Linked DNA regions of Nothobranchius furzeri. The protein of the gene in region 2 purifies or fractionates together with the protein of the main gene of each other region. This does not show direct contact. Links are inferred from orthologs where the notes say so. Each region holds a gene or a part of one and is shown on either strand. Other genes may lie near its edges.

Region 1 (10,844 bases), on a different chromosome or scaffold from region 2:
GTGAGGGGAGTTTTCCCAGGAAATTTAGTAGGCAACAATTATTATCAGATTAAAATTCTTGTAAAATGTCCATCTTGATTTTTCTTGTCTTAAAAATGGCTCCACAAAAGCAAAGAGCAACAAACACAAAGGGGAAAAATCTGAAGGCCTACGTACAGAGCTTCAATCGATGACTACAAGATGTTCAAACCTAGTGTGTGTGTGTGTATGTGTGTGTTTGTGTTTGTATATTGTCTATTTTAAGAAAGGTCCATAATATTTCCAAGAAAGCTTTAAGAGTCAGGAGCTTGGTGTGTAGAGGCAGGAATATGAGGAAAATTCTGGCCCCTTCTCCACAGTCCTGATTTCACCTTCGTCGGTCTCCTCTTTACCTGAAAAATAACGTCACATGATCAATGACATCATCTGATGTTTGTTGTGCTGTGAATTGTTCACACTAAGCACACTGCTCAAAAAATAAGACGTCCCAGATCTGAATGAAATAATCTTATTAGTGTTGGGCTGTAATCACAACCCCCACCTATGGACGTCGTACCCTCATACCACCTCGTGGAGTCTGTTTCTGACCGTTGAGCAGACACATGCATATTTGTGGCCTGCTGAAGATCATCATGCAGAGCTCTGGCTGTGCTCCTTCTGTGCCTCCTTGCACAAAGGCAGAAGTAGCGGTTCTACTGCTGGGTTGTTGCCATCCTACGGCCTCCTCGTCTGTGTTGTGCTGGCCTGTCTCCTGGCAGTGCCTCCATGCACAGTATGTGACAGAAAACGCAAACCGCCTTGCCACAGCTCTCAGTGACGTGCTATCCTGGATGAGCTGCACTACCTGAACCACAGGTTGTAAACTCTGAAAAAACCACCAGCATTCAACAGTGACCAAAGAATCAGCCAAAGGAACAGAGCAGCGGTCTGTGGTCACCACCTGCAGAACATCTCCTTTATTGGGAGTGTCTTGTTAATTGCCTATTCCATTTCCACATCAGCATGTGAAACTTGATTTCACACAAGTGTGATCGACTTCGAGTTGCATTGTGTTGTTCCCATTATTAATTTGTTTTTTTTGAGTGGTGTATTTTGGATTAGTTAGCTTATATTATTAGACAAAGATAACTAATGAAAATTAAATGCAGTTTCTAAAAAGAAGTTTTAATTCATAAAAAAAAAAACGCATGTGAAAAAGCCCTTTCTGGAAGGTTTCTGTTCGGTTCCAACCAACAGCATGTCAAAAAACATTACACCAACAGTCAAACACGGTGGTGGTAGTGTGATGGTCTGGGCTGCTCCAGGACCTGGACCACTTGCTGTAACTGATGGGAGCAGGAATTCTGCTTTCTAGCAGAAAATGAGAATGTCTGACTTTTGACCTTAAACAAGTGCTGAAAAGGTGCTCTAATGTGGCTGAAATAAACCATTTCTGTAAAAAGGAATGGGGGAAGATTCCTCCACAGTGATATGAGAGATTTATTCATCATTCACACTGGACCGGGCTGGTTCAGGTAGACTTTAATAATATCAGAAAACCTCACTTTGCATTTACTCGGGTTATGATTGTTTGGTGATCTGAAATATTTAAGAGTGAAAAACAGCAAAAATGGAAGAAATCCATAAGGAAAAAATACTTTTTAATCGAGCACTTTGCTGCAAGGCTGACCGGAGTCCAGACTGACCTCAAGGTGCAGGAAAATATAAAAAACAATCTTCAGATTGATAAAAAAAAAATTTGTTCAAGATCAACACTACTCCTAAAGGCTGTTAATTCTGTCCTTTCTCCACCAAAAACATAAAAAATATTGGTCAAAGTTAAATTAGTTCAGAGTTAAAGAAAAAACTTAAAGCAAAAATCAGTTTTTCTTAAAGGGCACCATCTAGAGGCAGAAAATATATATTGCACCTTAAGTCCCTGCTTAGGACTGGAAGCACTGCCTCTCCATGAATATACACCTCTAGCCACGCAACGAGCTGAAACACACCTTTTTACAATTATATCAGGAACTAGAAGTGTGCCAGATCACAGCTGATCTGAACACAACAGAATTTGGAGTCTTATTTCCTGATATTTGAACATCTCAGATCTAACAACGCGACTCTACCACTGACTTGCAACGTTGGTGTTTTATGTCCACAAATAACTGAAGCCTGGAGCAGTTCTGCTGTGTGGTGAACTTGCTGATGCTTAGCTTCTACTAGCGGAGACGTTCTCTGCTGTTGCCTCGACACTAAACCAACAACCCCGTTGTTAAAGAGGACATATGGAAAAAATACTTTTTGGAGCTTTTTACCATCTGATATTATTTCCACACGAAAAAATAAATCATCAAACCTGTTTCTGACTGCATTCATGCATTTTACTGTTTTAGCTGCAAATTTTGACTTTTACTCTGAAAATATTGTAAAGCGTTAATGGAAATAATAGAGTTCATAACCAAAAGGCTATGAAAGTTTGACTTAAGCCTACGCAATACAGACCTATTTTAATAAAAGAAAATGCTGACACAAAAGAGCCACATAGTGCAAACATCTGTAATAAAAATATAAATATCTCTGTTGTAATGAACTTTCACAACCTGCTACATAATAATTATTTAGTCCTGTCAGCGGAGCCGTAGGTGTGTGTGTGTGTGTGTGTGTGTGTGCACAGCAGCACGATGCAATGTGACGCTTAGAAAGATGAACTACTATTACTTATCTGTGTGAGAAACTGGAGGTGTGGTGTGAGAGCACATGAAGACAAACGTCAAATGTGTGTCTCACACCTATCGTGAGAGAATTTGCAGCCCTGATAAAATATAAATCCACTTCAGATACGACTCGCTATGTCTCGAATTTATTTAGCTCACAAAAAAGTGTTTTAATGAGTGAGATCCGCAGAGAATGATTAGTCAGACGACATACACCGCACATGTGAACTTGTTTACCTCTCCTGATGGTTTGCTAACCAGCGGGGAATATCGATGACAAAGTAGCTAGTTATCAGAAATGTTACCACGTTATTTGCTGGGTGCTTTTAGGATAAAAAGTCAAAAAGGGGGATATGAAAAGCGACACATTTGGTAACACTGTGGGAGATGCGCTTGATTTGCAACTCAGAGCAGCACATGAGGGAGGAACAAATAATCAGCTCGTTTTGTTATTGTTCAAAACCCAGATGGTAATTGTGATTAAAATCTGGCCCTAGTAGAGGCTGCAGAAAACAAAAGACCCTCTTACTTCCTGTCTATGTCAAGCTTAGATTTCAGTTAGATATTAAAACTGCCCTTAAAAGTTTTGTTCCACTGAGCTGAAGTTGGAAAATCCTCCAATCCCTTCTCTTTTTCAGGCACGCCTGTTTGCTTATAAAGAATCATCTGCTGAGAAACAACAATTCAAGCTGCTGAGATCCGGCATTTTGCACTTTTACCTCTGCAGATCAATCTGTCTCTTTGTCCCTTCATCGTTCTGCTGCAGCTGCTGTTTTGACATCTTGATGTTGAGGGGGTCTGCAGACGCATCAGTTGCTCTCTTCCTTCCTCGGCCACCTCCAGCCCCCGCTGACGGCACCGTGCCCTCTTTTTCTGCTCCTGCAGAAGCAGCAGCCACAGCTTTAGGAGGCCGGCCACGCCGTTTGACAGGTGACCCATCGGTCCCAGTGTCGGGGGTTGATTTCTGATCGGATGCATCCTGAATGACAACGACAAATGTCGAGTTAGGAGAACGAGGAGTGAAGTTAGGAAATATTTTGCACCCATCTGCGTTTATCTTTTTCACCTCTTCGTTTTTGATGACCGGGTTCTCGTTGTTCTCCTGCGCTCGACTCTCTGATGATTCTGTAGTAGTGCTGTTGTAAAACAAAGTAAATGAAACAAATAGTTTTATGACTGAGCTATCAACAGCTTGATTCAACAGTTTGATTGAATGTTGTAATTTTAGTCGTGGACACCAGAGCCAGGCGTGAAAAATTGAGGGCTTGCCCGGGATTGTTATTTTGGTCAAAATAATACAAACAGTAGAAAAACTGCTTTTGTATAAGTCATCACATCAGGTAGATGATCATTTTTTATCATTTTTAGAAATATTAATATCTTAATTTTTTTGTTTTCATGAAGCGCCTCATGATCGTTATGTTGAGAGGCGCTATATAAAAGATCTCTGTTCATAACGGTATCATAATTTAAGAGTCTTATAATATTTAGGGTGCACTGGTAAAAAGCCAATTTTAAGCATCCCAGCTTTCTTTTTGCATAATAATTGGGTTTGATTGATCAATTGGAAAGACAGAAAAAGAATTAATAGTGTTGTAGTCAAAATCATAATACTGGAGACCAAGAGATTATTGAAATCAGAGAGAACAGAGACAAATATGAGGGTCTCTCTCTCTCTCTCTCTCTCTCTCTCTCTCTCTCTCTCTCTCTCTCTCTCTCTCTCTCTCTCTCTCTCTCTCTCTCTCTCTCTCTCTCTCTCTCTCTCTCTCTCTCTCTCTCTCTCTCTCTCTCTCTCTCTCTCTCTCTCTCTCTCTCTCTCTCTCTCTCTCTCTCTCTCTCTCTCTCTCTCTCTCTCTCTCTCTCTCTCTCTCTCTCTCTCTCTCTCTCTCTCTCTCTCTCTCTCTCTCTCTCTCTCTCTCTCTCTCTCTCTCTCTCTCTCTCTCTCTCTCTCTCTCTCTCTCTCTCTCTCTCTCTCTCTCTCTCTCTCTCTCTCTCTCTCTCTCTCTCTCTCTCTCTCTCTCTCTCGTAACTGTCCATGTGAAACTGACAATGAGTGGTGCCACAGTTGAGCGAAGTGGTAAGTTTAACAAAGCTTCGAGTCTGTCCTCCATAAGATGGGTGGTGTGGTTCTCCCTATGTCAGTAGTGTCGGTCTGATAATTTACAGTGCTGTGGTGGTAAGTGGTTGGTTGAAGACATGGATATGCACTCAGTGTTGTAGGTGCGAAGTCTGACAATCCACTGGTTTTGAGCTTAAAGAGCAAATCACCCCCTACCAGAATCCAACTCCACTCACACTTCCTGTTTGAAAATTGCACCAACAGGAGGGATTGCCTGGTGGACCAAGAGGACAGCACTGGGCAGTTCTGGTTAGGCAAAGGTGGTGGGTGTGTGTGTGTGTGCGTGTGTGTGTGTGCTTACCTATTCTTGATGATAGGAGAGGCGTTGGTGCTTGTATTACTGGATGTGTCAGAAGCTGTGGGGGTCTTGAAGATCCTCCGCCCTGGTACTGTCAGAGGTTTGTTGACAGCGGCCAACACTGGAGCTGGTTTTGGCTGCAGGATAAAAAACATTAAAACCAAACTTTTAAAATGCATCATTGGTTTTTGTTTCAAATATAATTCTGTCAAAGTTTACCGGTTCCAATTTAAAACAAGCACCCCACAGTAAATATTCACCTAACAAAACAGTGCTGTTGCAAATGTTTTCCATCTCACAACCTATCAATCTGAAGTCCTTTTTAGAAGACACCATGCCGGCAAATCCGCATAACACTGCCGCCACGGCGTGTCATGCATGTGACGTGGCGGCATGGCGTAGCGGGAGTTTTGTGGCATTCATGCCGCCATGCTTGGTAATCATATTACCGCAATGCCAGACTTGTGAACGCATATTACGCCTTGGTGCAACAGAGGGAGGAGTGGGGAGTTGCAGCCGTGCTCCGGCCTGCAACTATTTAAAAAATAAAGTAAACACGGCAACAAGTTTCCTTTTTGTAATCAGAACCAGCTGAGATGATAAACTAGAGTGACACACACACACACACACACACACACACACACACACACACACACACACACACACACACACACACACACACACACACACACACACACACACACACACACACACAGAGAGAGATGATGAGCTACAATGTAGCCACAACTGCCTTGGGACGCAATGACAGAAGCAAGACTGCCAAACATAGGCGTCACCGGTCCCTCTAACCACCACCTACAGGCAAGGAGGGTTAAGTGCCTTGCCCAGGGACACAACAGCAGCATTCTCTGACAGGAGCCTGATTACTTGACAACCCGCTCAACCTCCTGAACTACTGCTGCCGAGCTATTCCAAATTAAACTTCCCATAAGTTGAAAACTAGAGTAACTCGTGTCAAGATTTACACTCCAGTGTTGATCGTTTACCTTTCCAGTGAGCAGCATCTGTCTCATCTCTGCCGTGAGGTACTCCTTATCGTTTTTGAAATCCTGACAAGGAAAATTACAAAATCATTATTTTCTCTCTCTCCATCTATTTACACACACGTACAAGCACGCACACGCACACACTAGGATTTGAAATGTTATGACAACATGCATTTAGTGTTAGAAATGGCTTAAGGTCCCAAAACATTATGAGCACACTATATAATGTACATCTCTGTGTGTGTGTGTGTGTGTGTGTGGTATGACCTTGTCCTGTACAAGGAAGAACTTTGAGGGTAAGACTGGCTCTTTCTGGCAGTCCAGGTGACACGCGGTGCTCTTGTTAGCGATGACGAATAGTGCAACGTCACAGACGATGTACAGTTTCTGTAAGGTCACAAGATTCCCGGTAAGAATCATTTGAAAGTAAACAAATCAACTTCCTGCTTTCACAAAAATGGATGTGTTAAATGTCAGACTTCCACATTCTGCTTGCCCGTTACAACACCAGATTAAATCTTTTAACGTCACATGTGCCAAACACCTCATTGGCCTTCACATCCTCAGGACACTGAGCGTCCTTTGTCTGCTTGATGTTCTCGACCATCTTCCGAAGGAAAGCGTGGCTGTTGTTCTCATTCTTGGTCATCAGGACTTCTAACATGAACCACAGGCACCTGAAGAAAGCAAAGCGTAAAAGGATTCAAGCTGTAGCTAAACCACATTTGTCTGGTTTTCAGGATTCACAACAAAAAAAGCCGTGTTTGAAACACACACGTTCAGCTCGACACAAACACAACACACACTCACTCTTTAATGTCTTTCAGCTGTTCGTATTCATGCGGTTTGGTGAAGTCTGGGTCGTGGGCCAGCAGGTGGATCATGTAAGGAACCACGTATTCAGGAAGAAGGGAGATGAGTTTTTCTGGTGGGAAAATGAAAATTCCTTTTAATGAGAACAACCAGAGACATCAGCTGAATTATGAATTATGACCACAGACCCTGAGTGACGGGGTTCTGCTTGATGTACTCTCTGCGGACGGAGATATTCTTGAGGAGGCACTGTCGGGCGTGGGCCCGCCGCTCCTTCACCGGGTCCTTGGCACACAGAGCAAAAACGGCCAAGTACTCCAGGGGCAGCAGCAGCTTGACCAGAGCTACGTGCAACTTCTGTGCAAAGATCTGACGAACCTGGTAGCACTCGTCCTGTGGAGAGTTAAGATGCTCATGAGACCAACTGCTCACATGGAGCTCATGTTTTAGACATCTGGCTGTAAGAAAGTTGTTTTCACAGCACATTGTGGGACTTGTGTGAAATGATTCAGCATGCCTTAAGATGCATCCATCACTTGGTTGTTTACGTTTTAAGAACGCTAGAGTCCAATAAACTACGGAATGAAAAATATTTGTAAAAGTGACGCTGACATTGATGACGAGGCCGCAGAGCTGAAACTGTTCTGGTGTGATGATTTCATGGTAACATTGTTCCTGCGCCAGCTTCATGATGGCCGCCCCAGCAGCCAGCCTCAGACGAGACATGTCCGATTTACTGGGAGAAAGAGGACAGAAGCAGCTAAAGTCTGGAGTCTCATGGGGAATGATGGCTGCCACACGTGACTGAGAGCTCAGCTGAGCTACCTGATTTTCTTCTGCTCCGTCAGGTCTCCCTCGCTGACGAGCATCGCCGACAGCAGGCGCAGGGTGGAGTTCGCCGATTTGGATTGGTTGTTCTTCATTCCCAGTAACCAGCGCACCAAAAGCTTGATGGCATGGACCTGGAGGACAGAGGGGAAACGTGTCTTTTGTTTCTTGTGACACTTAACATCTGTTTGTTAATATTTTAAAAAGGGCCCAAACAGCAATCTGTAATCAGGTACCTTTGCTAAGACCTCAGGAGAAACTTCCTCATCAGCGGTCCATAGCTTCCCGTTCTTGTTTCCCACTGACTGAAGACACAGAGATAAACCACATCTTTGCTTTCTTTATGTAAACAAACACACATGTCATTTATTTACAGCTGTATGTATTTGCCCAGTAAAATGCAGTTTGTAACAACTTAAAAAAAGATGCTAAAGCTTAAAGCTAAACGGGCCAGACAGGTAAAAAAAAAAAAAGTGACTCCTGATGCCTTGTGTGTGTGTGTGACTCCTGATTTAGGTGAAAGGATGGCTGCTGCACACACCCTGTCATTCATGAGCAAGTCTTTCACGATGAAGTTAGCCACAATGGATTTCATCGGTGATGCAAACTGATCTGGAGCCAGCATGGCTATATGGCCCAGGGAGACGAGAGGAGTGATGAGCTGCTCCGGGACGTCGGCGTTCAGACTGTGTGACAGAGGCTGTGGAGGAAGATGAACACATCCTGACACATAAACGGTCTGGTGACACCAATAAAAACACTTAACATGAAAAGTTTGATCCCTACAGACCAACATGAAATTATTCCCTACTTCAAAAATCTGTGCCAGTTGCACTTCCTTGTTGTTGAAAATAGCATGGATACAGTGGACCGCCTGCTTGGCCTGGTGAGGTGTTCCTCGTTTGGCCTTCTGGTGCAGGATGGGAATCAGTGTCCTGAAGAACAACAGGAAATCTTTCATTTACATGTTCATTCTCACAGAGGCATCTTAATGTTCTTTTAATGGACAATCTTGTCAAACTGAGGAAACCTGTGTCAAATCCAACTAAGCGTCAATTATTTAGAACACAAACACATGAAAGGATCAACGCATCCATCTTCTTACGATCGAATCTGTTGCAGCTCTGTCTCAATCTTCTGCCCGGTATTCCTGAAAATCTGGATGGCTGCTTCTGCCACTTTGTCATCCTCCATCTTTAGACACTGCAGCAGTGACTCGTAGGTCTCAGCCGAGTGAAAGGCTGTGGGGTGTGTAAATGACAGGACCTGAAAGCAGAGGGAAACTCATTAATTATCCAACTGTAAAGGGCCATTTCAAGGTTTTCTCTGGTTTCGATCAAACCTTGAGTAGCTCCAGTCCGGAGCGGATGGCTGTATCAGGGGTGACGCCTTCCTCGTCATCATCCGCTGTTCCCTCGATGGATTTGTTTAGCAGCTTCACCAGAGCACTGAACCAAAAACACAACATCCCTAATCCACACGTGTGTCTGGACTCATTTATTAGTGTGGTTTCCCAAAAAGATGAAAGGGTTAAAGAGGAGCGGAGACTGGAGTTGCAGTTGCACATGACCACCGCTAGGTGGCTCAGTGAATGATGATAGCTCAGTGTTATGCAACCACACACACACACACATTAAGCACTCAGGTTCAGAAACCTGAAGACACAGTTTCTCTTTTCTGTGATTGAAAACTAAAACTAGAATTTAAAAACACATTTAAATAAAAAATGTTCACCTCAATAAAATTAAAAAACTTAAAATCACCGCAACATAAAACAAGCCAGTTCTAGTATTGTTGTCTTAATCTTTGAGGATTTTCTCCGACCTGATTGCCTCGGAGTCGATGTGAACCGGTGCGATCCGCTCCAGCAGGAACTTTACCATCTCCAGGAAAGGGTTGGTGGGCTGTTTGGGGAATGTCAGCTTACGAGTAATCTCCCTCTGCACAAGTAGAAATAGGAAACAGTAAATATACAGCGGGTACAGAAAGTATTCAATGGCAGAAGATCCCCAAATCCAGGTGTAAGAAACTTGATGCATCTTTACCAGGAAGACTCACGGCTGTACTAGGTCAAAGGGTGCTTCTACTAAATCCTGAGTAAAGGGTCTGAATACTTAAGACCATGTGATATTTCAGGTTTATTTTTTTTTTATAAATCTGCAGAAATGTCTAATATTCTGTGTTTTTCTGTCAATATGGGGTGTTGTGTGCACATAAATGAGGAAAATAATTTATTTAACAGATTTAAGCAAATGGCTGCAATATAACAAAGAGTGAAAACTTGATTGGGGTCTGAATTCTTTTCGTACCCCCTGTAAGCATTCATACTAATTATTGCATGATAAAAAAAAACTTGACCTATGAAACTCAGAATCTGAATTAGGTTTCTGCTTTGTGCACGTTGAATTGGATGTAATCCACAGCTAGAGAGCCTCGTCTCACCACACAGATCTCGGCCTGTTTGCAGGAGCAGGTTGGACTGATCAGCATCTCCAGCTGGACTCTGAGCTTCTCATCCTCACTGAGAACCTGATTGAACTTCTTCATGAAGTCCTGGGCCTTCCCAGCATCTGGTAGGTTCTCTGCAAACATCAATAAAGGTAAAATAAACCTGCTTAACAGCCAAGATGAATAACTATATGTGCATGTTTATGTTTCTAACTCACTAGCAATGCTCATGAGCTTCCCAAACATGGCTGTGTTATTGGCCTCGGACTGCCAGGAAGAAGACAGAAAAAACTTGTTACAGATTAATTTTAGATTCTTGTCTCATAATTGTTGGACAACAGGTGAGCTTGAACGCACCGCTGGCAGCTTGTGATGATCAAGCAGCTCTTTGACGAGTCCTCTCAGCATGTTCTGACACTTCCACATCTCATTCAGAGCCCTGGAAGCAAAGATCACAAAGACAAACATCCTCCTGTTATGGACTTGTTGATGGTTTAATGCTTTTGATTTAATATTGTGTGTGGAATATGGCTGACCTTTTATCCAACGTAACACTTCTGAATTAACGCACAAGTCAACATTTATGTGTAAAACATTAAAACCATTGTGCAGACTTTGCTAGTTACTAACTTGACAGCATTGGTGTCGAGGCAGGC
Region 2 (10,844 bases):
CAAAGTGGCGTTAAAAGCGGCGTTTTATGTCACAGAACGGCGAAAAAAGCGGCGTTCAATGTCCGTACCAAACGCCGTATTTTACGCCACCCACACAGAGAACGCGTCTGGGATTAGGGTGACGTAAAAAACGGCGTTCAATGTCCGGAAAAAACGGCGTATTTTACGGGCGTTCTACGGGACCGTTCAGAACGGCGTAAATTACGGCGTTCTGGCAGAGTTTTCGCCGTATTTTACGACGTCTTGGCACATCAAACGGCGTTTTTTTCGCCATTTCTTAACTAGACGGGTTGGGAAAGTGGCGTATTGTGACGGTTTTGGCTTGCCATAGAGCCCTACGCAAGGACGGATAATGGCGTTGCGTGTCTCCGCACTGACGCAGACGGAGAAGCATAAATCAGGCTTTAGTGTCCATTGTGGGATTTACTTTAGATGAAATGACAGATTGAAATGATAAGCTATTAGGGGCGAGTCCATTTGTTTGACAACTAGAAAATGAGCTGTCAGCACTAGCAGCTAGCCCAGGGAAGGCTTCAGCCTCATGTTAAAAGGCAGAGGGTAGTAGGGTCGCTCAACTGCAGTATAGCTAAATGCGCCCACCAACCTCTGTTCGCTTTGGTTAGCGTAGTTAGCTCGTAGCTACATCAGCTCAGAGTTTGATGGATTTCAGTCATCCGCCCCCACCCTCACAGCCCTGTTCTCAGCTACGTGTTTGTATTTTCCCAGAGTGACGAGATGTGTGGCCCGGCCAAGATGGCGGTGGTAGGAACCGCCCGCATTCTCACTCCCAGCGCTCAAAAACAAACGCTTGGTCAGCCACCCTCCACGTTTGACCCCTGATGCCAAAAGTGCCCTTTTTCGTTACTTATGTGCGAAAAGGGATCTTTCCCTTATTTGACTGCAGATCCCAATGCAGATCCCAACTGACGCGATGGGATGTCCTTTACCGTTGCATCCCAATGCAGCGTTACACTAACGTGATGGGATGTCCGCAGCCAGGGCACCAAACAAGCTCATTGTACCTCACCTTAACCATATCCTCTTATTTAACCTTCCCCTCACCCCTATCCTAACCTTAACCATCTTGCTAGCGAACACGTTAGTGATGTGTCGATCGCTCTAAAAGCCGGCTCTATGAAGTGAACGGCGGGAGCCGCCTCGTCAGTGGTTGAGTTTGGACCGAGCCAATGCGAGGGGGAGGTTTCAACTACCACGGTGGAGGTTAAAAGTAGAGGGTATTTGTAAACCCCCCCCCCCCCCCCCCCCTCCTCGCCAGATGGTATGTTCTAACGTTCCCCTTGGGCGGCAAATACGAAAATTCACAGTCAGAGTCAGAATTCATGGGAAACAAACGAGGGCCCTTCTACACACATATCTCCTGCATTAGCTTCTGACGGTGAAACTGTAGGATATGAAAAGCCTGACAGATGCAACTCAGGACGTAAAGCTTGGTTTATGCTTGACGCATTCACTTTCCGCTTGGTGATGCGGCTCGCGGATGGAACGCGCTTCACAACTCGCAGCGTTTATGGTTCATGCGGCTTGTCTCTGCGGTGAGCCAATATTCTCCCAAACTGAACGGGGCAGCACGGAGCTCTACGGCATGCATCCAACACTACACCATAGTAGAAGTAGAAATTACTGTTGTTTACAACATAGCATTCCAGCATTTTTAACAGCGTCCTCGTCTTTTCCGACAGTGCGAGCTATTTCTTTCCAAGAATTATTAACAACATGTTGATCACGGTGATCTTTGAGAGCTGAATCATAAAAATGTCTGTATTTATGAACCTCTGCCATAGTTCTTGCCAGTCCGCCATGTTTTTCCGCGTCCGACCGTCCGCATGGTTAGAAATTTCCTAGGTGCGCGATGCAGAAATCTTGGGCCGTGTGGAGGCACGTGGTGTTAAAATGATGCAATTTCGCCACACGGAGCCGTGCGAACCTCGCGGACGCGTCAAGCATAAAACAAGCTTAAGGCAAAGCCCAGAAAGACTAGAAAATAACTTTTGTAGCCAGATCACTAACATTCTTTTTTTTTTTTTGATCGGAGACCCATGAGCCAACCAGAAGGGGAGGAGACTTAGGTTAAATACGGGGGGACAAATACGCGTTTGTCCAATATTGGACCCCCCCCCCCCCCGTTCCTACGCCCTTGCTTCTATTCTTTACAGAATCAATGTTGGAAACATATTTTTATATCTTTTTAGCATCTTTCATACAGGATTGTCCTCCCATGAGTGACCTACATAGATAGCAATTAATTAGACAGCATGTGAAAAAATAACAGCTGGACTGACACATAAGATATCAAAACACATGTCACACATTTTTAAAATGTCACACAAAAAGAGAAAACCATATACTACAATAGCTGCGATCCTTAACGCCCTTCAGAGTTGATCATTGTCAGCTGAGCACACACGGACAAACTGGACGAATGTCACCATAACACTAATTACCAAACTGGAAATACTTTGAAACAAAAATGTATTTATTGTTATTTAATAAAGTTATAGAATAAATGTGCAGGTCATACTAACATTAGGACATTTTGTCTTATTAGATTAAATTATGCATGAACTTTCAGAGCATAAATCAGTCTTTATTAAAGTCAGGTTCAGAACTTTCCCAAATGTTTTGTCAGAAAAGAATGGATTGTTTCAGTGAAGGGAAAAAAATCTCTATCTTAAGAGATAAAAAGGTGTTATCAGCATGTAAATAAGGTATAAACATTTTAAATGGCTTCATTTTGTGTATAAATAGGAATTAAACTTTTAGTAACTCTATTTATCAAATTCAGATGAAGTCACTTGTGCATAAAAATTAATAAAATATTTTTTCTTGATGTTATAAGTTTTTTATACAGGATACTGTTTTTTATCATTGATTTTTCATCAAATTAATAAAAAATGCAGGTGTTAATAAGTACTGGTGGGAATAAAACAGAAAAACAAACATGCATGTGCAATTTAATCTCTGGAATAAAACACGTTTTAGAAATAAAGCAGCAATAATAAATACATGTTTTCTTGTAGTCTATAGAGTGTAAATATGTTTCAAGAAGATCAAGTTTAAACAATAAAACCATTAGATCTTGATTCTCTGTCTTGTTTTCAGGTATGAAGAAATAAATGTCATCCAAACCAAGAATTTAAAACAGGAGTAATCTGCTTAGATTACAGCTGGATGAGCATCCAGTGCTCCCATTGTGTTTCAGAGAGACAATCCTCTTAAGCCTCATCTCAGAGGAGAGTAATGGTCAGAACAGGTCCATCCCATCATTTTCTGGTGGCTGTATCCTGTCTCCACGGGCTGCTGCTTATCAATGACCCTGAATAGATTTCTCCTGATTTATTGAACAAGCAAAAGGAACAAAGAGAAGACGAGGCATGGCTTTAGTTTCCTGCTCTGAGTGAGTGGCTCTGTGATGCTGAAACACATTTCTAGTTGGTTTCACTGAGGTCACAAGACTGCAAAAAAAAAAAAAAGATAAATCATCTCAGATGAAAAATGTCCTTCCTCTTTCGTCAGCTGACAACTTGTAATAATGTACTTGTGTGTCATAAATCTAGTTGAACATAAATGTTTATGACATGCAGAGACTCGTCTGGAGACTTGTTCTGCAGCGGGATGACAGCTGATGGTGTGGGGGCTTCACCAATCCAGCTACAGTACAGCTGACATTATTGGTAGAAACAAAGAGAGGAAGGATGTGTGTGTGTGTGTGTGTACGTGCATCACTCTAAACCCGACACCACAGACCATGTGACCAACAAGCCAAACAGGTACAGTTGAAAAAGTAAAGACACACAGGTACCCTCTACATGTTACATTACTGATTATTCTGTAGGTGAGTCATTTTAGACATATTAATAAAATCTACTATAATCCAGACATTTGGGAATGAAAATACTAAATTCCTTGTTTCATACTATTGGAAGGCAGGGCAGACAAGTGGGTTTGGTAAATATTTGTTTGGCCAGAAAAAGTAAACAGATGTTTGCGGTTTAATTATCATTGCCTGGTAACAGACACTCCCCCTTTGACACATGGTCAATTATTAACCCCTGACGTATGAACACATGAACACTGTTTCTATGAATGTCTTATTTAAAGGCTCATAATTTAAATGGTAAGCTGTTTTAGATCTCTGGCACTTTTGAACATTAACGTAAATAAACAAGTTTAAAGCACCAACTCATTCTCTTTTAGAGAAGATAAACCTTCTTGTTGAAAAAAGTGTTTTATATCTTGCAAAACCATCATCTGATGTATTGTACAAATTAAACTGCATTTTAAGTAGTGCACCCCCTAGTGTTGAAATGTGATGTTACACATTAAAGGTCCATCTATAAAATGTTTTATTTTCATCCATATTTGAGCCAAATACTACTGAGTAATAAAAATAGATCAGGGGTCAACAAGCTACATTATGAGCTGACCTTGTCTTGAGAAAAAGAAAGGCAGAGACAGTGTTTTGACCTTTTATTACAAACAACAATATTGCCCCATCATTCATGTCTGAGATGTGAAGACGTTTAACTCAGAAACCCCCACAGCCTCATAAAACAGGAGAAACCCCTATGAGATACCACCCCTGGTTTATTTCAGCTCACTCTTCCTCCTCTGAAATACTTGGAAGTTTTTCTGTTATCCATCACCACTTTGATCAGCTTCCTGTCAACAATGCTGTTAAATATGGATGAGACCAGGCACCATGTGTTACTTTATGAATATCCAACACTGTTTAAATAAAAAAACAACAACAGCAGCCTGAACCCAGGCTTTGGTGATTAAAAATATGGAGGAAGAGTGTTTAATGAGGTGTGATGTTCAAGGTCCAGATAATTTATAAGCACTTTGCAGGCATGAAACATTTAGTCGTGTGTTTTGTAAGAATAACATTTCCAGGTCCAACACCTGGAACAAAGATCTACATCTGACGACCCAACAGCAGTTGTGATAACTTAAACTGCTAAATAAGAAAAATGTTGTCAGCTGTGATAGGCTTTAAAGGTGAATTAAGGACAATCTTCTTCAGAACGAGTCAAATTGCATTCAATGAGCTTTTCAAGCAAAAGAGCACAAAGTCCCTGGAGGCTGCAGATCCTCTCTAATTAGATATGTCCTTCGAAACCACTCTTTTTCCATTTACGTCTGCACACTTTGCTATACGGCACAGAGCTGCAGCAGCAGTGGGACATCCAGGCCCCTCTGTGTTTGTGTACTCTCTGCCTCCACAGAATGAGTGGTGAAGTCAGTGTGACCACGAGAGTCTTTATGCGCTGGGCTGCTGGCACTGTGAACAGGTGCGTACCGCCCTGTCCCGGTGTGTCTGTACCTGCACGGTGCACCTGGTGAGACCATAGGTGTGAAGCAGCAGGTGGCGGGCCTTGGCCTGGACCTCCTCCCAGTTGTTAGCACTAGGGGGTGCTGTTAACACCAAAACATGCATTCATTATAAATCAGACCTTTGTTTTATTGAATCCTAACTCCACACTGTCCTGAGATGTAAAATACCCAAACACTAAGAAGCTGGATTTTCTAGCGTATCTGTTCAAATGATGTGCGGCACAAGCCAGGAAGCTTTTTCAGTCGCTCCGCTGCATTACCATGTAAAGTAAAAATATTAGAGCCAAAAGGTCAGGGGGAAAAACCAAGCATTCCTAACTAAATATAGGTTTTTAACTTCCATTTTGTTCTTACAGACTGAGGTCTCTGGGACAATGTTACGATGCAGCCCTGCATTCTTATTTTACTCATGCTTCAGTGCCCCGTGTGAATATTTTTATGTTCCTCTTCTTTTGTTTGATTTCAACATAATATTTATATGAAAAAGTTGTCCTGATTTTTAAAGTTATGGAAAATTTGTGTTGATAACAAAAAGTTCATTTATTATGACACATTAAGCCTGTTCAGACAGGACTAAATGATATGTGTTTGGATTGGATTGGATATGTGTGCAAACAAAAGTTGTATAAATTACCATATTTAGGAATTAAGGCAAATCCAATGTGTTTGAAGTCTGGATTTTCCAGAAAAGAGCCATTTTTACATAAACAATAGCTGAATCCTCTTGTGCATTAGTTGCTCCACCAGTGAGGACACAGCTCCCCCTTGTGTGGAGTCTGCAGATTAATGTAAACCATTTCTACAGGGATGGTTTATTGTGATGCAGCCAAACGCTTCAGTGGTACAAAACTTGCATTTGACTGAGATCTGTACATTGTTTCACCCAAACCTAGTGTCTTCATCGAGTATCCAGTCAGTCACTCACCGAGCTGCAGATGTACCAGTGCAGCAGTCTTATCGGCCGTCAGCGCCCAGACGTTCAACTCGTCCACCGATTGGACATCCTCCAGCTTCAGGAGGTCTTCTTTGATTCGCTGAATGTCCATGTGTCTGGGGACACCTGACAGCGCAGGACAACAGCACACATAAGAAAACAGCCAACACCAAACAGAAAACCATAAAACATCCGGAACGAACCTTCCAACACAATGATTAATGTGTCTCGTATGATTCGGAACGTGGTGAAGAGAACCAGCACCGAGAAGATGTAGGTGCAGATTGGGTCTGCCAGCTTCAGCTCGGGCTGTGAATTCAGAGTGTTATTGGAGTTAAAACCTTTTTTATTTCAACGGAACATCTTAATAGTTGTTTTTATCATAAACCGGCTTTACTCTTTTATCATTTACACGAGACCTGAACATGTTCAAACACATCGTAAACAGTTTCAGTAAAGAGTGGTGTGGTGATCGGTTACTAATGAAGCTGTGACAAAGAGCGATGGGTGTGACAGACTGAGGCAACATGATGTCACTACATGAATGATGCATCACACACACCCATATTACAGAAGTGTGTGTTCACTCCTAGTTTATTTTTATCATTAGTTAAACTCTGTGTTAACCCTCCCACTGTCTTTATGGGTGACCCCGCGAGGAAAGTGTACCATTGAGCTGGGTTGATGGTTTATTCCTTCAGGTCCACATGGCAGGGGTGAGGAGTGAGCACCACCTCACCCCTGCCACGTGGACCTCAAGGGATAAACCATCAACCCAGCTCAATGGTACACTTTCCTCGCGGGGTCACCCATAAAGACAGTGGGAGGGTTAATTAAATGTTTAAAAATAAATTCAAGATATTTTCATTGAGTGATAAAATGACACAAAGTGCTCCAAACTAAGGTTTTAGGGAGTTCTTTAGTAAATAAAGCAAATAAATCTCCTGCCTCGATTACTGCAATGCCCTTCTAACTGCTCTTCCAGCCAGTACTGTGAGACCTCTTCAAATGGTCCAGAACGCAGCGGCGCATCTGGTCTTCAATCAGCCAAAAAGAGCACACGTCACCCCTCTGTTCATTGAGCTCCACTGGCTACCGCTAGCAGCACGCATCAAATTCAAATTGCTAACACTAGCATACAAAGTCCGAGATGGTACGGCTCCCATCTACCTGAATCCTCTTGCAAAGGCTTACGTCTCGGCCGCGCCGGTCATCATGGGATCGTCGGCTAGCAGTGCCTACACCACGCTCAGGACAATCCAGACTCTTCTCATGCATCGTTCCACAAATGTGGAATGACCTTCCAAGCTCTACCAGAACAGGGGCTTCCTTTTCAATTTTCAAGAAACTCCTGAAGACCCTGCTCTTCAGAGAGCATCTTCTTAACTAGCACCCTCCCTGCACCCCCCCCCCCCCTCTACTGTCCACTCCTTGTTCCCTACTCTCCATGACTGATGTCAATGTTGTTGTTGTTATTGTTGTTATTGTTGTTGTTGTTAGCCTCAAGGGCAACATGCCGATTATCACTTGTAAGTCGCTTTAGACAAAAGCGTCTGCTAAATACATAAACATAAATAATTGGGTGTACCTTGAAGCGAACTATATAAGCAGCTATGAGAACGCCGATGCTCTGGACAAGATCTCCCAAGGCGTGGATGAAGGCTGCTCTTACGGCCAGGCTGCCATGTGGTTTCTGCTGAACCGACCCGGTTGAATGTGGAACCGCAGAATGACCGTGGCCGTGTGAGTGGGAATGACCGCCTTGGTTTAATAAAAACCCCATTCTAAACACACAAAAAGAGCAAAGAATTCAGTCCAATTAGCTCGGTCAGTCAGAGTTTATCTTATTAAAATCTTTGCTTTAGGGTGAAAGGCGTCTCTCACATGAGATTAACAGCAACACCCACGGCTGCAGTGATGAGCATGATGTCTCCATCTATGTCGAAGTCCTGGTGCACGGTCCTCTGAACCGCTTCATAGAGCAACGCAGCCGTCAGGATGTAGATGAGCGCCACGCTGAGGACTGCCGATACCACTTCTAAAAACAAAAGTCACATTCAGCTGTCAGAAAAGGTTTAGAGTGGTTCTAAACAACAACAACAACCAGCCCCATATATTCAAAGTCCAACCTAAAGAAACAGTTCAGCCATTTTGAAGTAAGCGTCAAGTTTTCTCATAGCTAAGATGTGTGAGGAGAACAGGAGGTATAGGTTGTGTCCAAGACACTGATGCAGCAGAACAAAAACGAAAAAACAAAGTTGAGAAAGGCAAGAGAAGACATCTGTGTTGAAGTGGTGGAGCATTTCCTGGGGCAGACATTAGTCTGGTAGGGAACAGTAACAGCCCTGAGCTGTTTCACTAGATGGCTTACGGCTCAGAGAAGCCCCAATGTGAAGCTTGTTTATTGATGCAACCAGCGGTGGTCTCTGAGCAGTAGTGTAACAGAGCGAACTCTGGGGGTGAAAACATGAGGAAAATAAAGGTGTGTGAAGTCAGAATGACATCCTGTGGTCAAAGCTGATAAGGAGATAAATGCATTTCACTGTATTATTGAGAGACTTGTAGAGCCAACTATTTGCTTCCATCTTGTTAGCTCATTGTTAGCCTCTAGGCTTCTTCACCCGATATCAGAGTAAAACAACAAGATGCCGTGGTTCTTAGGGGAACAAGAAATAACTTCTGGGCCGCTCCTTTTACTGGGTAACATTATTTCCACAACTGCTGCTTTTTGCAGGCCAATGTCGAACTACAATTGCCGGCACAGCAGGGTTTACCATCAAAAGACTTTGCAACCTCGCAGGCTTACGTATGATTGGCTCTGAAAACAGGAAGTATGGAGGCGGGACAGATTGTAAACAGCGACTATGTCTCCTTGTGGCCTTGTTTTTAAAAGACCAAAAGTCAAAATTGGGGTCAAAATTGTTAACCATTACAGAAAGATTAAAATGCAAAAAGCTACAATAAACTGACTTGATTCTGATTTTTGCAGCATAATCAAAATGAAGTGTTTTACAGACACTCACATGAGGGAGATCCAATCATATGCAGGTACAAGGTGCTGCATCGGCTTTTATATGCATATAAAGTTCATGATGTGGACAAAAACCTAAACAGCTGAGTCAGCACTCACTTTGACAAAGACCCAGGTTAGAAATCTTGGTGTCATAATTTGGTGTCTGGATTCCTGCTGTTTGGCCTGATCAGTTACCTGGCTTACCGGAAAATTTACGAGCTTTCGAGGAATATTGGCTCAATCTTGGAGCTCAGGGATGGGATGCATCATGCAGTGAACGCACAAACTCATAATTGTCGAGATGAGTCGTAAGCTTGGAACTTTGGCTGAGATTCAGGCTCTGGCACAAAAGGTGGATTCCATTAAGGAGCGAGTGTTGAATGAATGTTGTAATGCTGCACCAAAACTTCTTGCAAAATACTTCTTTTTAATTTTTAAATTGTATTTTCTGTCGCGTTGATTTTAATGTTCTTGCTAATGGAAAGCACACTGAATTGCCTCTGTGTATGAAACGCGCTGTATAAATAATGCTGCCTTGCCTTGTTATGTTGTTGGAAACATAAAACGACTTGTTTGGTTATTTTCACACAGTCAGGGTTAAGTTTTCAGAAACTTGGTGAAAAGTCATTTTTATTTTATATAAGTATTAAGTCTCATGACTTAGTTAAAACAGATAAGTGCCTCCTTCAACTAACAACTTACTCCAGCTGTTCCTAAATCATGTTGAATCTTTGGTTCTGACGGGGTTATTAATATGCATACTGTGAATGGTTATGTTGAGCTTCTGAAGGAAACACCAGGTCTCCGTGTCTCTGGAACAAGATTCTGATCACACCTGAGACCTGCTGTAACACTCTCTCTTAAGGTGTTTGAAATGCAAACTTTGGTTTTTGCTGCACAGACATAAACGAAACAAACAAACAAAATAGACACAGATAGAAAACGGATATGGGGGGGGGGAAGTGCTTCTGAAACTCACCGAGGCGATGTAGCCCAAATGTGAATCTCTTGGTAGGAGGCTTAGTGGAGAGCCAGAGGGCCAGAAGAGAGAACAAGATACCCACCACGTCTGTTAGCATGTGCACAGCATCCGTCATAATGGCTAAACTGTTTGATACATAACCACCTAAAGGAAAAGGGACAGTAATAATTAAAATGTCATGGCATATAACCAGTTTCCATTAAAGCTACTATAACAAACAGTTTTGAAAACACAATTAATGTGGCTCTGCTAGAAAATTAACATATTTATGATAATCGATGTTTCTTTGATTCTAAACATAGAACATAAACCACTGAAACGGTGACAGCATTCAAACAAAAACCTCTGGGATATTTAAATGTAATAAAAGACAATAATTACTATAAATATACCCAGTTATAATTAGAAACACTGACCCATAGAAAACAAAATCCACCTTTGTCACATGATGAAATCAAAACTAAATCACCACATAATTGTTTTCTCAAAAAGGCTAACATAAAATGACTTTTGCACAAGAGCAATGTCACTAGTGAAAAACACAGATTAATGTTCTAAAA
Region 3 (10,708 bases), on a different chromosome or scaffold from region 2:
ATTTAAATCCGTTAAATAACTTATCGTATTTTCCGGACTGTAAGTCGCACTTTTATTCATAATCTGGCTGGTCCTGCGACTTATATACCAAATTATGTATACCGCGCTGCTGTGGGCCGGCTCTGGACCAGGAATGAGCTCCCCTTCCCCGCCATCACCTGCTGGAGACCGTTGCGCGCTGCTGCGGGCCGGTGTCGGTGCAGGATCGGCTCGGGGTCCTTCGACTGCCGATGATGTCAAAGTAGTTGATTGGCTGAACATGAAGCTTACGGAAGAGACGTTATCACGTTATGATTTTGATTGGTCAGAACAAATTTGCGGTTGTAGTCTTAGTGGTTGTAGTCCTGTAGTCCAAAAATCAACACGTTTTGGAGAAAATATGTTTGAATTTCTAAAGGAAATGTAAAATATAAGCAAATGATAAACGGTGACCCTCAAAAGCTCTTGATGTTGATGAAATGGGGCAAAATAAAATATAAGAACTTTATTGAAAGACACCAAGATAACAACTAAGGAAATATACAGAAGAACTCCACATTAATACTAACAGATGTGGCTTCACATATAAGAACTGTTCTATTGTTTGTCAGTCCGATGTTGGTTTTATGCAGTTTCACATTCTTTACAAAACAAAGATAATATGGTGTTTTATTAACAAATTACAATTATAAAGAAAACATTCAGGTGTTGACAAACAAGAATTTATTAACAAAACTGCTGATGTCTTATGTGTCGTATGTGTGAAAGCCGAGATTTGCAGTAATGTGACGTTATCGGCAGTCGAAGGACCCCGAGCCGATCCTGTACCGACACCGGCTCCGGTCCAGGTTTCAGCTCCTCTGCCCCGCTGGGAGGGTTTGAAACACCGCCATCCTCTGCTGGAGACCGTGGCGCGCTGCTGCGCCCGCGTTGTTTATTCTTTTATTGTTACTGGTACTTGTCTTGCAGTGTGAAATGCTTGGTCTCAGATTTTGTAAGAAAAATAATAAAATTCCCCCCCAAAATGCGACTTATATATGTTTTTCTCTTCTTCGTTTTACATTTTATGGCTGGTGCGACTTATACTCCAAAAAATACGGTACTCTTTTTGTAAGAATATAGGCGTTCTCGTTTCGTGTTTGTTCGTTTTGTGCCTCATTTTTCCTCCTGTTAAGTTTTATGTGACCCCCTCCTCTCCACACATGATTCCCCCCCCCCCCCCCCCCCAGTGCCGGGGTTGTAACAGCAGCCTATCAGGGGATGGGTGGGCGTGGTCAACAACAGCAGGCTCATTCTGGAGTGTACTGAAACTTTAGAGCTCAAATCCCTTCGAGAGACAGATTTTTTTGCTAAATCCTTCATAAGTACGTTAGTTTGTTGTTTTTAACCAATCAGACTTTTTAACCCTTTATTAAAACCAGCAAAAACCAGATTAAAAACAATTATTTTATTTACAACTGTGGCCTGGTAAAAGGGAATGGTTTGTAAAATAAAATAAAACAAATGTTAAAATGTTAGAGGCCTCTTGAAACTAAAAATATATAATAGGACCCACATAAATCATAGAATAGATCTAAAGTTTCAACACTGGCAATAACCTTTTATTAACCAGGACGTCCCTGGAGATTAGCGCCTCTGGCCATGATGACACATCAGGATAAAACAAGTCAAAGAGGAGGGCGTTTATGGAGTAAAGAGGGCGTCTGCATTAGAAATCCAGGACTAAAACCAGTATTTTGTTTTAGGTCACATCGTTTCAGCACCAACATTTGGCTGAGATCGTCTCCTTTTCTGAAAGCTTAATCTTCTTAATTCTGTCCCCATTTCTGCGCCATGAGGCTTGTGGTGGTACGGACCTGGATCCGGCACTTAGCTCTTCAACTCTGCACAACATGTTCGTTTCTGCTTAACCGTGTTGCTGTAAAAGTAGCAATAGTTGGAGAGGATTATGAGTATTCTCTGTAGTCGTACCCGTCCCTCCTTCACGTGTGCCTGTAGGTGTGGATGGGAGAGTGTTTAGCCTGCGTTACGGGGCTGTTTACTCAGAGACCACCCTGTACCGAACCAAACCCTGGCAGCTTTTTAAAGGCCAACATCCTTCTGAAATCTGTCTTTTCAGTACCAAACCAACCGAAAGAAGTGAGAACATGAACAGCAGCATCATTCCAAGAAGAGAAAGAAATCCGGGAACCGTTAAAATCCCAACGTTCCAGTAGAAAAAGCCTGCTGCTCGTAATTCGTTTTCATTGTCGCAAACTACATAAGTGTAAAAGAAAAATAGGTATTTGGGTGGTTTTTACGGTAATTATCAACATCTGTGACCATGATGTCAAATGACAATTATTCATTTATAGATTATGAATAAATTTACTGCCCTTGCTGACGTGTCAGACAGATTAGGACTGGCAGTAGTCTGTAGTCCTCTGTTTAACCTTGAAAAGACAGATTTAGGATGTGGGAATGACTTCACGGCCCTAACAGTGGCGTGTCCAGATCTTTTAAAATGGGGTGGCCCAGGTGAGGCACAACTTTGTGCATGGGTGGCACCAATGGTTATGCTTTTTTTGTTTTACCCCCAAGCCGTTTGTGGACAATGAAAAGCCTATTTAAAGGTAAATTAGTGTGGTGGCACCTGGGGTGGCCAATCAGATTCCAAGGGTGGCATGTGCTACCCCAGGCCACTCCCTGGACACGCCCCTGGCCCCTAAAAACTAAATATGAAGTTAAAGGAGATGAGAGTTGTGGTTGGTGTTGCCGCTGACTTTGTTCACGTCTGGATCCGACCCGTTTGGAGCAGAATGGTACAAAACATCTCATCCTGCATGTGAACAAGATGGCAGGCGGGGTCACGGGGTCGCGACAAACATGCAAACAGCAGAAGTGTGTCATTATAAATGTTTCATTCCAATAAAAGTGATGTGATTCCTTAAAACGGTCTGGTGGACTTCCTTCAGGCGTTCGTGTTTAATGAGAAACATCAAACAGAAGTTTGTGTTTTCATGTTCAGTTTGATGACGTTTATTTCTACTTTTATACGGCACAGATGCACAAATGGGAGGTGGTCATGAAAACAGAAAAGACCGTTTTCCAGCAAACTGAGCTACTTCAAATAATTTAGTCTGGAAAGTAAATAAATATTAATACACCCATTTAAAGTCAAACATCAGTTTTTTTAGTCGTTTTATGGGGTCAGCGAACGCACCACAGCTGAGCTCAACTGCTTTTCTATTTTATGTGTCAGCAGGTCGGCGCTGAACAAGGGTTAGGGATCTGAACCAGGTGTGTGTGTGTGTGTGTGTGAGTGAGAGACAAGGTACACATGCAGATTCTCATCGGTTTTATGAAGTTGTAAGAGTTCACATTCACCTGGTTTCCTCTGTTATTTAACCATGAACAGTGTTATGACCACCAGCCTGGCCTCTTCAGGTGCAGGAGCCAGGATCACCCCGCCCCTCCTCCTCCTCTCCTCCAGGCTGCTGAGGAGCCCAGCTGAGCTGAATCCTCCTGATGACCCACACCCGGGGTAAAAGGCTGCAGGGTTCTGCTGTCCTCCAGGCCTCGTTTTGGTTTCAACACCTTCGTTTTGATGAGTTTTAACTTTAATAGTTTTAACTCTGAGTGATCCAAATGAATCTTTGTTTGATGTTGACTCTGTTTTAAGGTTAACATCGTAGTTTGCCGACTTTGGGATTTTAAAACACTCGGGTGTTTTCTTAGTGCGTCGATTTTTAATATCAACGTGTGTTTTTTAAAACACCTTCTGTTTGGGTAACCCGGTGTTTTAATGTTGGTAAGTGGTCCTTTAAATGTTAACCTTTTAGTCTTGATTTTGTTTGTTTGGGCATTATTTTAAAAATGCTTTCCATCTGTTTGCTCTTGTTTTTACAACCTTTTATAACAATCAAATCATTTTAAAAATATTTCATGTATTTAGAAAACTTTAAATATTTCTGTGTACGGAGAAGAAACGACAAAAATAAAATGCTTACGATCATTTTAATATTTACTTTTCCCCGGTCAGCTTTGCTTTTCCAGATGAACTTACTTTTATTACAAACATTAAAGTTGTGCATTTGTTCATTTCTGTCCGTTTCTCCTGATTTACTCTCCTTTCTTCTCAGATTTACTTTTCATGTGACTCATCGTTGCGTTTCCTTCACTGTGAGCCAAACGGCTGTTATCCTTTCAAAAGAAGACTTTCTGCAGCTTTTACTGCGAGGCAGATACGAGGTCGGCAGAGCCCGGCCCATTTGAGAGTTCAAAACTCATCCAGCACTGTGGCGCCACTGCTGTCTGGCTCAAAGGCACTTGGACCAGTCAGAGTTCAGAGAAAGTGTCCCAAGCAGAAATGGTGTAGAGTCAGAGAAGTTGACCTTTGATCTCTTCCACTTTTCTGTCCAGCTGCTCTCCCACAGCCAGTAGCTCTTCCCACTGCCGCTGGAGCTGGCCTTGAGCCTCCCGCAGCCGCTCATTCAGCTCCAGGTACCGGCGACACTGCAGGAACCGGTGCTCCACCTCACTGTCTGCAAGGAGGGACCATTCTGCAGAGAGCAGATGAGACCAAAGCTCAACAACCAGAATCCAGAATGATGGAGCAAGGCCATGAAACACAAGCATCCCTGATTTTATAAAGAATATCATTCTTGGCCATCTTAAAAACTGTTTTGCTCGTTTTTCTTAAACATGATGTAACCAAGATGCTGAACATCAAAACAGAAATGGGCTTTTATTGTGAAGTGTTAAACAGAACAAGACAAGTTTTGATTTAAACTAAGAAGATAACCGTGTTTGTTATAAGGTCATCTATGTGGACTCGCCTTTCCCAGTTTTCTCCAGGACGTTGAAGACCGGATCATCAGGAGCAGCCTTGCTGATGTCCTCCAGGATCTGGTCCACATTAGGAAGTTCTGGGCGGCTGAGCAGAACCACACGTTTCTTATTCTTAGAGCCAATGTTCATCTTAGACGACAAATCCACCTAAAACACAGTTCACGCTGATGATTGAGGAAAAGGTCACGTGTCTTACATTTAAATACACGAAATACGATTTTTTTTATTTTACCAATTCGGCATAAACAAAAACCATCAACACCCAAATTTAACTGTTAGCGGTGATACACCAGAATTAGCTTAAAATGCAACAATATTCGTAGGAAAATAACGGATTTATTAGTCTAGCGGGAACATTTCAAGCCGAACATTTCAGAACAACCCAACAATTGTTATGAGGTAAAAATGACGTTAGTGACGGAAGTAACATTAGCTGGCAGCCGATTTTTGTTTAATTTAGACGTTTTTTGTATGAAACTCGGGCTGCTGCTCGCGCAGCTCGCGCGGCGCGGAAGCGTTCTCTAAAGTTTACCAGAGTTGATTCTTCACGGAGGAAACCTTCTGATGTGTCTGCTCTCAGCCCGTCGGCAACGACTTAAACCGGACTGCTCATGGGAAACAAACGTTTCTGTAGTTTATGAACGACGAGCAGCCAAAACGACCCGGACGTTCTTTTAACATCCAAACCGGAAGTTCATTAACAGCCTACGTCAAAACGTCACAAGCCACGTCGGCAGAGCGTGTTTTTATGTTTTTGTACCGTGATTTGTTTTATATTAAAAAAAATAAAGTAATAAAAAAGTCATGTGATTTTGCTACATGTAGTACTTGTATATTATGTAATACACGTTAATGTTTATTTGTTCAGAGACTGTATTGTTAAAGGTGTTGAACACCGAAAAACATGTTTTAATTATTATTTCTGATAATCAGGCACTCTGAGTGTTTCATGCAGGCTGAACATGAAAATAGTCTCCTACATCTATCTCCTTTATTAGCTTCTGATAGAAAACTGACGGGGAATCTCTAGGAAAGCCTGGCAGATCTACGTGACACTGTCACTAACATTCATGGGCTCACCCATCTTGGCTAACGACGGGGAAGGCTGCTGTTGGTTTAGAGTCCAGGAAACAGCAGAGAACGTCTCAGCTAGTAGAAGCTGCCCCCGCGACCCAACTCCGGATAAGCGGATGAAAATGGACAGATGGATTTTACATGATTTCTGGTGATAAATTAGTTTAAAAACTATGCCGAGAGGAACCAGCTGAGGTGGCTCAGGCACAAAAAATGTGAGGAGCCGTTTGGGAACCGAAAGAGTCGATTAATTTTAGTTTCGTTTAGCCGTAAAAATTGGTTCAAACAACGTTGGAACCGGTTCATTTCATTGTGTTTATTTCTTAATTCTGATTTTTGCTAATAATTTATTGGGCGTTGTACCGGTCTGTCGTCAGGACAGCACACTGTAGACCAGAGCAATCGATCACAAAGTTCATGATCAGTCAGAAGAAAGTAAAAACCAGAATAAAAAAGACCGGGGGGGGGGGGGGGGGGGGGGGGGCAAAAGGTTAAAATCAGTTAATTGAGATTTTTTAAATCTCTAAATGTTGAGTGGATTCTTTCTCATTTTACTCCAGTAACTGACAGAAGCAACATTTCAAATATTTTATTTTTAATCAGAATATTTTACTTTTGTGAACTAAATAAATAAATAAATGAGTTCCAATAAGTAGCAGAAAAAATTAAAATGTATTAAAGATAATTTTATTAACACAAAACCTTAATTTAGACTTTATTCGTCTGTTTCCTTCGTGTTTATCATCCCGGTAAACACGCATGAATCCGGGTCAGTCTGTCAGATCCAGCAGGAACTCGTGGACCTCTCTGCTCGTGGGCGGCAGGTTCTCTTCTCTGATCTTCTCCAGCCTTCTGATGCTGTCCTCCCTGTAGAAGGACTGATGTGGGACAGCTGCTGCTGTCATGTAATATTTTACCGACCTGTGCTTCTCCTTTTGACTGAACTCTAAATATTTTGCATAATAACTGCAAACCATCTGCTCTCCTTCAGCGTCCAGGTCAGTTCTCAGCAGTTCCTGAAACATTTCCTCAGCTTCTGCTCGCTGATTTAATTTTGCGTGAATGTTTGCCAGAGATGTTTGCATCTGGAGAGAGGAATGAGGGTAGAGAGCGATGACCTCTCTGTGGAGACTGATGGCTCTGTGCATCCGGCTGGGCTCCAGGTGACTGTTGCTCTGCGAGAAGACTTTCCTCTTGTAGCAGATTGCAGCACATCTCTTTATGTAGCGTGCACCTGGATGCCTTTCCAGAGCCTCCTCTGCTAAATCGATGGCTTCATCCATGGAGACGTGGATCCTGTAGAGCCGCAGTAATGGCTTGATGCCGCTGTAGCTGCTCACCGGCTTTGCTAAAACTCTCCTGGCCAACTTGTGTGCCTCATCCTGAACTTTTGCTCCTTTCTGAGCTCGAGCTTCCAGGTAAAGAGCAGCGAGGTACAAGTTATCTGGGTCGTGCTCTTTGGCAATCTTCATTTTCTCTAAGATGTCCACATCCGTGTGTGCTCTTTGGTGCATGAAGGCATTTACTAAAGCCAGCACTCGGCTGGTTTGCCACTCCACCATGTCTGGCTGCATTCTGATGGCCCTCTGGAAGTAATCTGCAGCCAGCAGCTTCTCGCTGCTGCTAAACTTCATCAGAGTCCAGGCCTTTTCAGCACAGATCTCTGGATGGGGTTCATCCAGGCACGGAGACGGATATTCACTCATCAGGGCCTCCAGCTTTGACAGATATCCCTGACTCTGGGCTTGCTCCCCCAGGTGGTGGTGCAGCCAAGCCAGATTTCCGTAATTCACCACCAGCCACGGGCCCTCATCTGAGACGGTGTTCCTGAGCTGTCGGAAAGCCTCTGCGGCCCTGCAGAAAAACCGCAGCGCCTCTTTGACGAAGCCCAGCTGACAGTGAACGAAGCCCTGCAGGTTGTAGATGTGACCCAGCCAGCAGTATCCCTCCTCCGAGCCGATGTCCTCCAGCTCGTCCCGCAGGCGGAGCAGTCGGGACCTGCTAGGAGCCAGATCCCAGGTGAAGTGGCACTCCAGGACCTCCAGTTTGGACCAAAGTCCTGTCTGACTCTGAGCAGAGCTGAAAGACATCAAAAAGGACGAAAGTGAACTCTCAGACAACAGGTTGAGTTTAGATGTTCAGCAAAGGAGGAAAACAAATAAGGACAAAAGGCTAAAGAGTAAAAGAAATGATTGGGACGAGCCCTCTGAGGGAGATGAGACAGTAAAGTAATAACTAAGGATTTCTCCATAAATAAAGTCAATCCGGTATTAATGCAGACATCTGCACTCACCTCATGGTGCAGCTCAGACTCTGCTCTTCTAAACATCCCGGCTCCCGTCCAGCTCCTTTTCTTCAGGTGCAGCATCATAAAACGGGTAAAGTTCAGCTGGAGCGGCTGTAAACCACGTCAGCGGGAGCAGTTTGGACTCCGAGGACGGAAATAAAACCAGCTTCATCCGTGAGCTGGTTTCATTTCTGTCCTCCAGCTGTTATCAGCAGAACAAAAAGTGACTTCACACATTTATCCGGGGCTAAAGAGGACGCTACTGGGCTGTTCTTCTCAAAAGGTTAAAGTTCAACTGAAGCAGTTGTCAAAGTGGGAGTCTGTCCATCTGTTCACGGCTGCAGACGGAACAGATTCATGATGGACACCTGGACCCTCTCCAGCTTCTCCTGGTGGGCCACGTCAGAGAAGACTCCCTCTGGGTCTCCTCCACAGACGTGTAATAATCCTGGACAAAGCCTCCCACTTCCCTCCTCATGAGGCCAAAAGGGCGGTTCCCACGTACGCCATCTTGGCTGTGTCACACGTGTCGTTGCCATGCCCAGACAATCCAACAATCCAGGAAGTAAATGGCCGTGTTCGAGATGAGCCAGTTCTGCGCAGATTAGAATACCAGTGATCGGCGTGCGGTGCATGCCGGTTGGATCCGACTTAAAGCTGCATTCCGGAGTTTTCCCCTTTCAAAAATGATGTATGATTGTTCAGAATCTGTTAAAGTGATTATCCCATCATGTGCTGTGATCAAATGTAAGCAATATGTCTTTTTTTTTTTTTTTTGCTAAACACGCCCCCTGCCCCACAGAGCTCCATTCAATAGGGAACTGAGCGCCGACCAGAGCTAACCAACTGTGTTAGACTACCGCTTACGTGCTTCAAATTTAAGGAATACCTCGGCTGATGCAGAGTTGATGAACGTTTCACGGACAAGTAAGTCTCTAAAATATAAATATATGAAAACACAACATGACATGAGAATAATACTCGTAAAACAGCGTGTTTTAGCTCCGTTTGTCAGCTGCAGAAGCACATTTATAACCAGAAACGTGAAGTCGCCATCTTAAACAAACAGAGGAACAGACTTTTTGTGTGATATGCTTGTCAGCCACTAGATGGTGCCATCAGATAAGAGAAATACTCCGGAAAGAAGCTTCAACGCCGACTTTTGATCCAAACATCCTGTGGTGGAACGTTAAATGATAGTTGGTCACATGTATTCTGTAAATCATGTTACGTTGATGATGACAACTATACAGGCCATACAGAGAAATGTGATTACGTTCTTTTGTCACGTTTCCTATGAGCACACTAAAACTACAGCTGCTAACCTTTACTTATTGTTACAGTCATGTCTCCATAAGCACATGTCTACAACACATGATCTCCACACGCATGTGAGGATGTGTTTCAGTTGCTAACAGGCACCAGAGGGTTACGCAATTATGAACGCTAATGCGATTTCTTCAGCCATCGTCACCCGCAAGCTACATGTAGAGAAACCTGTCCCACTTAAACGCAGGCTTTTAGCCACTCCCACCGCTGCGTCCGTCTGCTCTCACCTGTTTTCCAGGCGAGGCGCCGCTCATCTCAAACAAGGCCATTCTCACATGCTTGTGAAGGCACCCGAATGTGCGAATGGGGATATGACTGTAACACATTATAAGTAAAAGTTACCAGCTGTAGTTCTAGTGTGCTCCAAAAAAAAAAAAAAAAATATATATATATATATATATATATATAAATAAAACCATTTAAGGTTTAAAAAAACCTACATGGCCCCTTGATGTTTTGTGTTGTTTCTGCACAACTGGCATTTAAGGGCACACTCTGCAGTTTTTCTTGCTTTTAGCACCCCCTAGTGTCCATTATTAATTATCTGTGGTCCAAAATGAAACCAATCTCCTCGCTGTGCCTTTTTCTTTTTAACACCCAAATCTAATAGCTGAAATGTCTCCCCAGCCTTCTTTAGTGTCTACAGGAGTGATTCATCACTAAATTAAACAAACAACTGTGTCCATGATCTAAAACAAACATGCTGGCAGCAGCACAACAGGCGGTGGCCCAGGACTCTGAGGTATCCTGGCCACAGAGGGCGGTGGGGTCTGAGTGACATTTCACTGTTTCAAGATGCTGATTCAAAAATATGAACAACTTTGCCTTTAGGATGAGTAAATCTGTTTTGTGTTTGATGGAGAATAAAAACGAGAAATGGAGAAAAGGCAAAGACTGAAACTTTAAACAACTATATAACCATAACATAATCATCGGGGGAAGTTTTAATGTTTCTATCTAAGAATGAGACTTTTGAATGAATGATTTTGGGATTAACGGATGCTCACGAGGCACCTCCTCCCTCACCGCTCCACCTCCTCATTACAACAGATTGTTGCTGTGAGAGGATTACTACCTGCCAGCTGCCGGTCCAGGATCCTTTCCTCTCTGCTTCTCTTTGAGGACGTTGTTGGAGACCATGGGACTGCTGGGTGTTCTCACCTCCATCAAGGACCGAGCAGAAAAGTTTCTGAACGAGAAGAACGTGGT

Evidence for each region.
Region 1: the proteins of slc30a4 (region 2) and pds5a purify together in Homo sapiens (affinity purification with mass spectrometry; 3 studies listed by BioGRID and IntAct, counting the BioPlex papers as one, with this or other methods). This does not show direct contact. The link is inferred for Nothobranchius furzeri from reciprocal best matches to the Homo sapiens genes SLC30A4 and PDS5A.
Region 3: the proteins of slc30a4 (region 2) and c8h19orf25 purify together in Homo sapiens (affinity purification with mass spectrometry; 3 studies listed by BioGRID and IntAct, counting the BioPlex papers as one, with this or other methods). This does not show direct contact. The link is inferred for Nothobranchius furzeri from reciprocal best matches to the Homo sapiens genes SLC30A4 and C19orf25.

Annotation. Positions count from the first base shown.
Region 1 is NC_091747.1:79,462,337-79,473,180, forward strand, and holds part of pds5a (sister chromatid cohesion protein PDS5 homolog A), read right to left. Parts: coding exon 10,819-10,844; intron 10,628-10,818; coding exon 10,546-10,627; intron 10,456-10,545; coding exon 10,407-10,455; intron 10,323-10,406; coding exon 10,183-10,322; intron 9,681-10,182; coding exon 9,565-9,680; intron 9,189-9,564; coding exon 9,083-9,188; intron 9,007-9,082; coding exon 8,846-9,006; intron 8,676-8,845; coding exon 8,552-8,675; intron 8,441-8,551; coding exon 8,282-8,440; intron 8,046-8,281; coding exon 7,977-8,045; intron 7,875-7,976; coding exon 7,738-7,874; intron 7,649-7,737; coding exon 7,525-7,648; intron 7,306-7,524; coding exon 7,101-7,305; intron 7,025-7,100; coding exon 6,910-7,024; intron 6,777-6,909; coding exon 6,644-6,776; intron 6,487-6,643; coding exon 6,367-6,486; intron 6,163-6,366; coding exon 6,100-6,162; intron 5,230-6,099; coding exon 5,096-5,229; intron 5,009-5,095; coding exon of another isoform or gene 4,759-5,008; exon of another isoform or gene 4,649-4,758; intron 3,812-4,648; coding exon 3,742-3,811; and 5 more. UniProt on the Homo sapiens protein: Probable regulator of sister chromatid cohesion in mitosis which may stabilize cohesin complex association with chromatin. May couple sister chromatid cohesion during mitosis to DNA replication.
Region 2 is NC_091749.1:43,227,061-43,237,904, forward strand, and holds part of slc30a4 (probable proton-coupled zinc antiporter SLC30A4), read right to left. Parts: intron 10,429-10,844; coding exon 10,282-10,428; intron 8,328-10,281; coding exon 8,174-8,327; intron 8,074-8,173; coding exon 7,878-8,073; intron 6,599-7,877; coding exon 6,493-6,598; intron 6,416-6,492; coding exon 6,281-6,415; intron 5,437-6,280; coding exon 5,345-5,436; coding exon of another isoform or gene 5,282-5,344; exon of another isoform or gene 5,151-5,281; intron 3,474-5,150; coding exon of another isoform or gene 3,447-3,473; exon of another isoform or gene 3,240-3,446; intron 1-3,239. UniProt on the Homo sapiens protein: Probable proton-coupled zinc ion antiporter mediating zinc import from cytoplasm potentially into the endocytic compartment. Controls zinc deposition in milk.
Region 3 is NC_091748.1:78,705,119-78,715,826, reverse strand, and holds c8h19orf25 (UPF0449 protein C19orf25 homolog), read right to left. Parts: upstream 5,530-10,708; 5' UTR 5,342-5,529; intron 4,957-5,341; 5' UTR 4,939-4,956; coding exon 4,797-4,938; intron 4,521-4,796; coding exon 4,339-4,520; 3' UTR 3,959-4,338; downstream 1-3,958. Other genes in the region: interferon-induced protein with tetratricopeptide repeats 1, read right to left, coding at 6,654-7,962, 8,177-8,181; reep6 (receptor expression-enhancing protein 6), read left to right, coding at 10,638-10,708.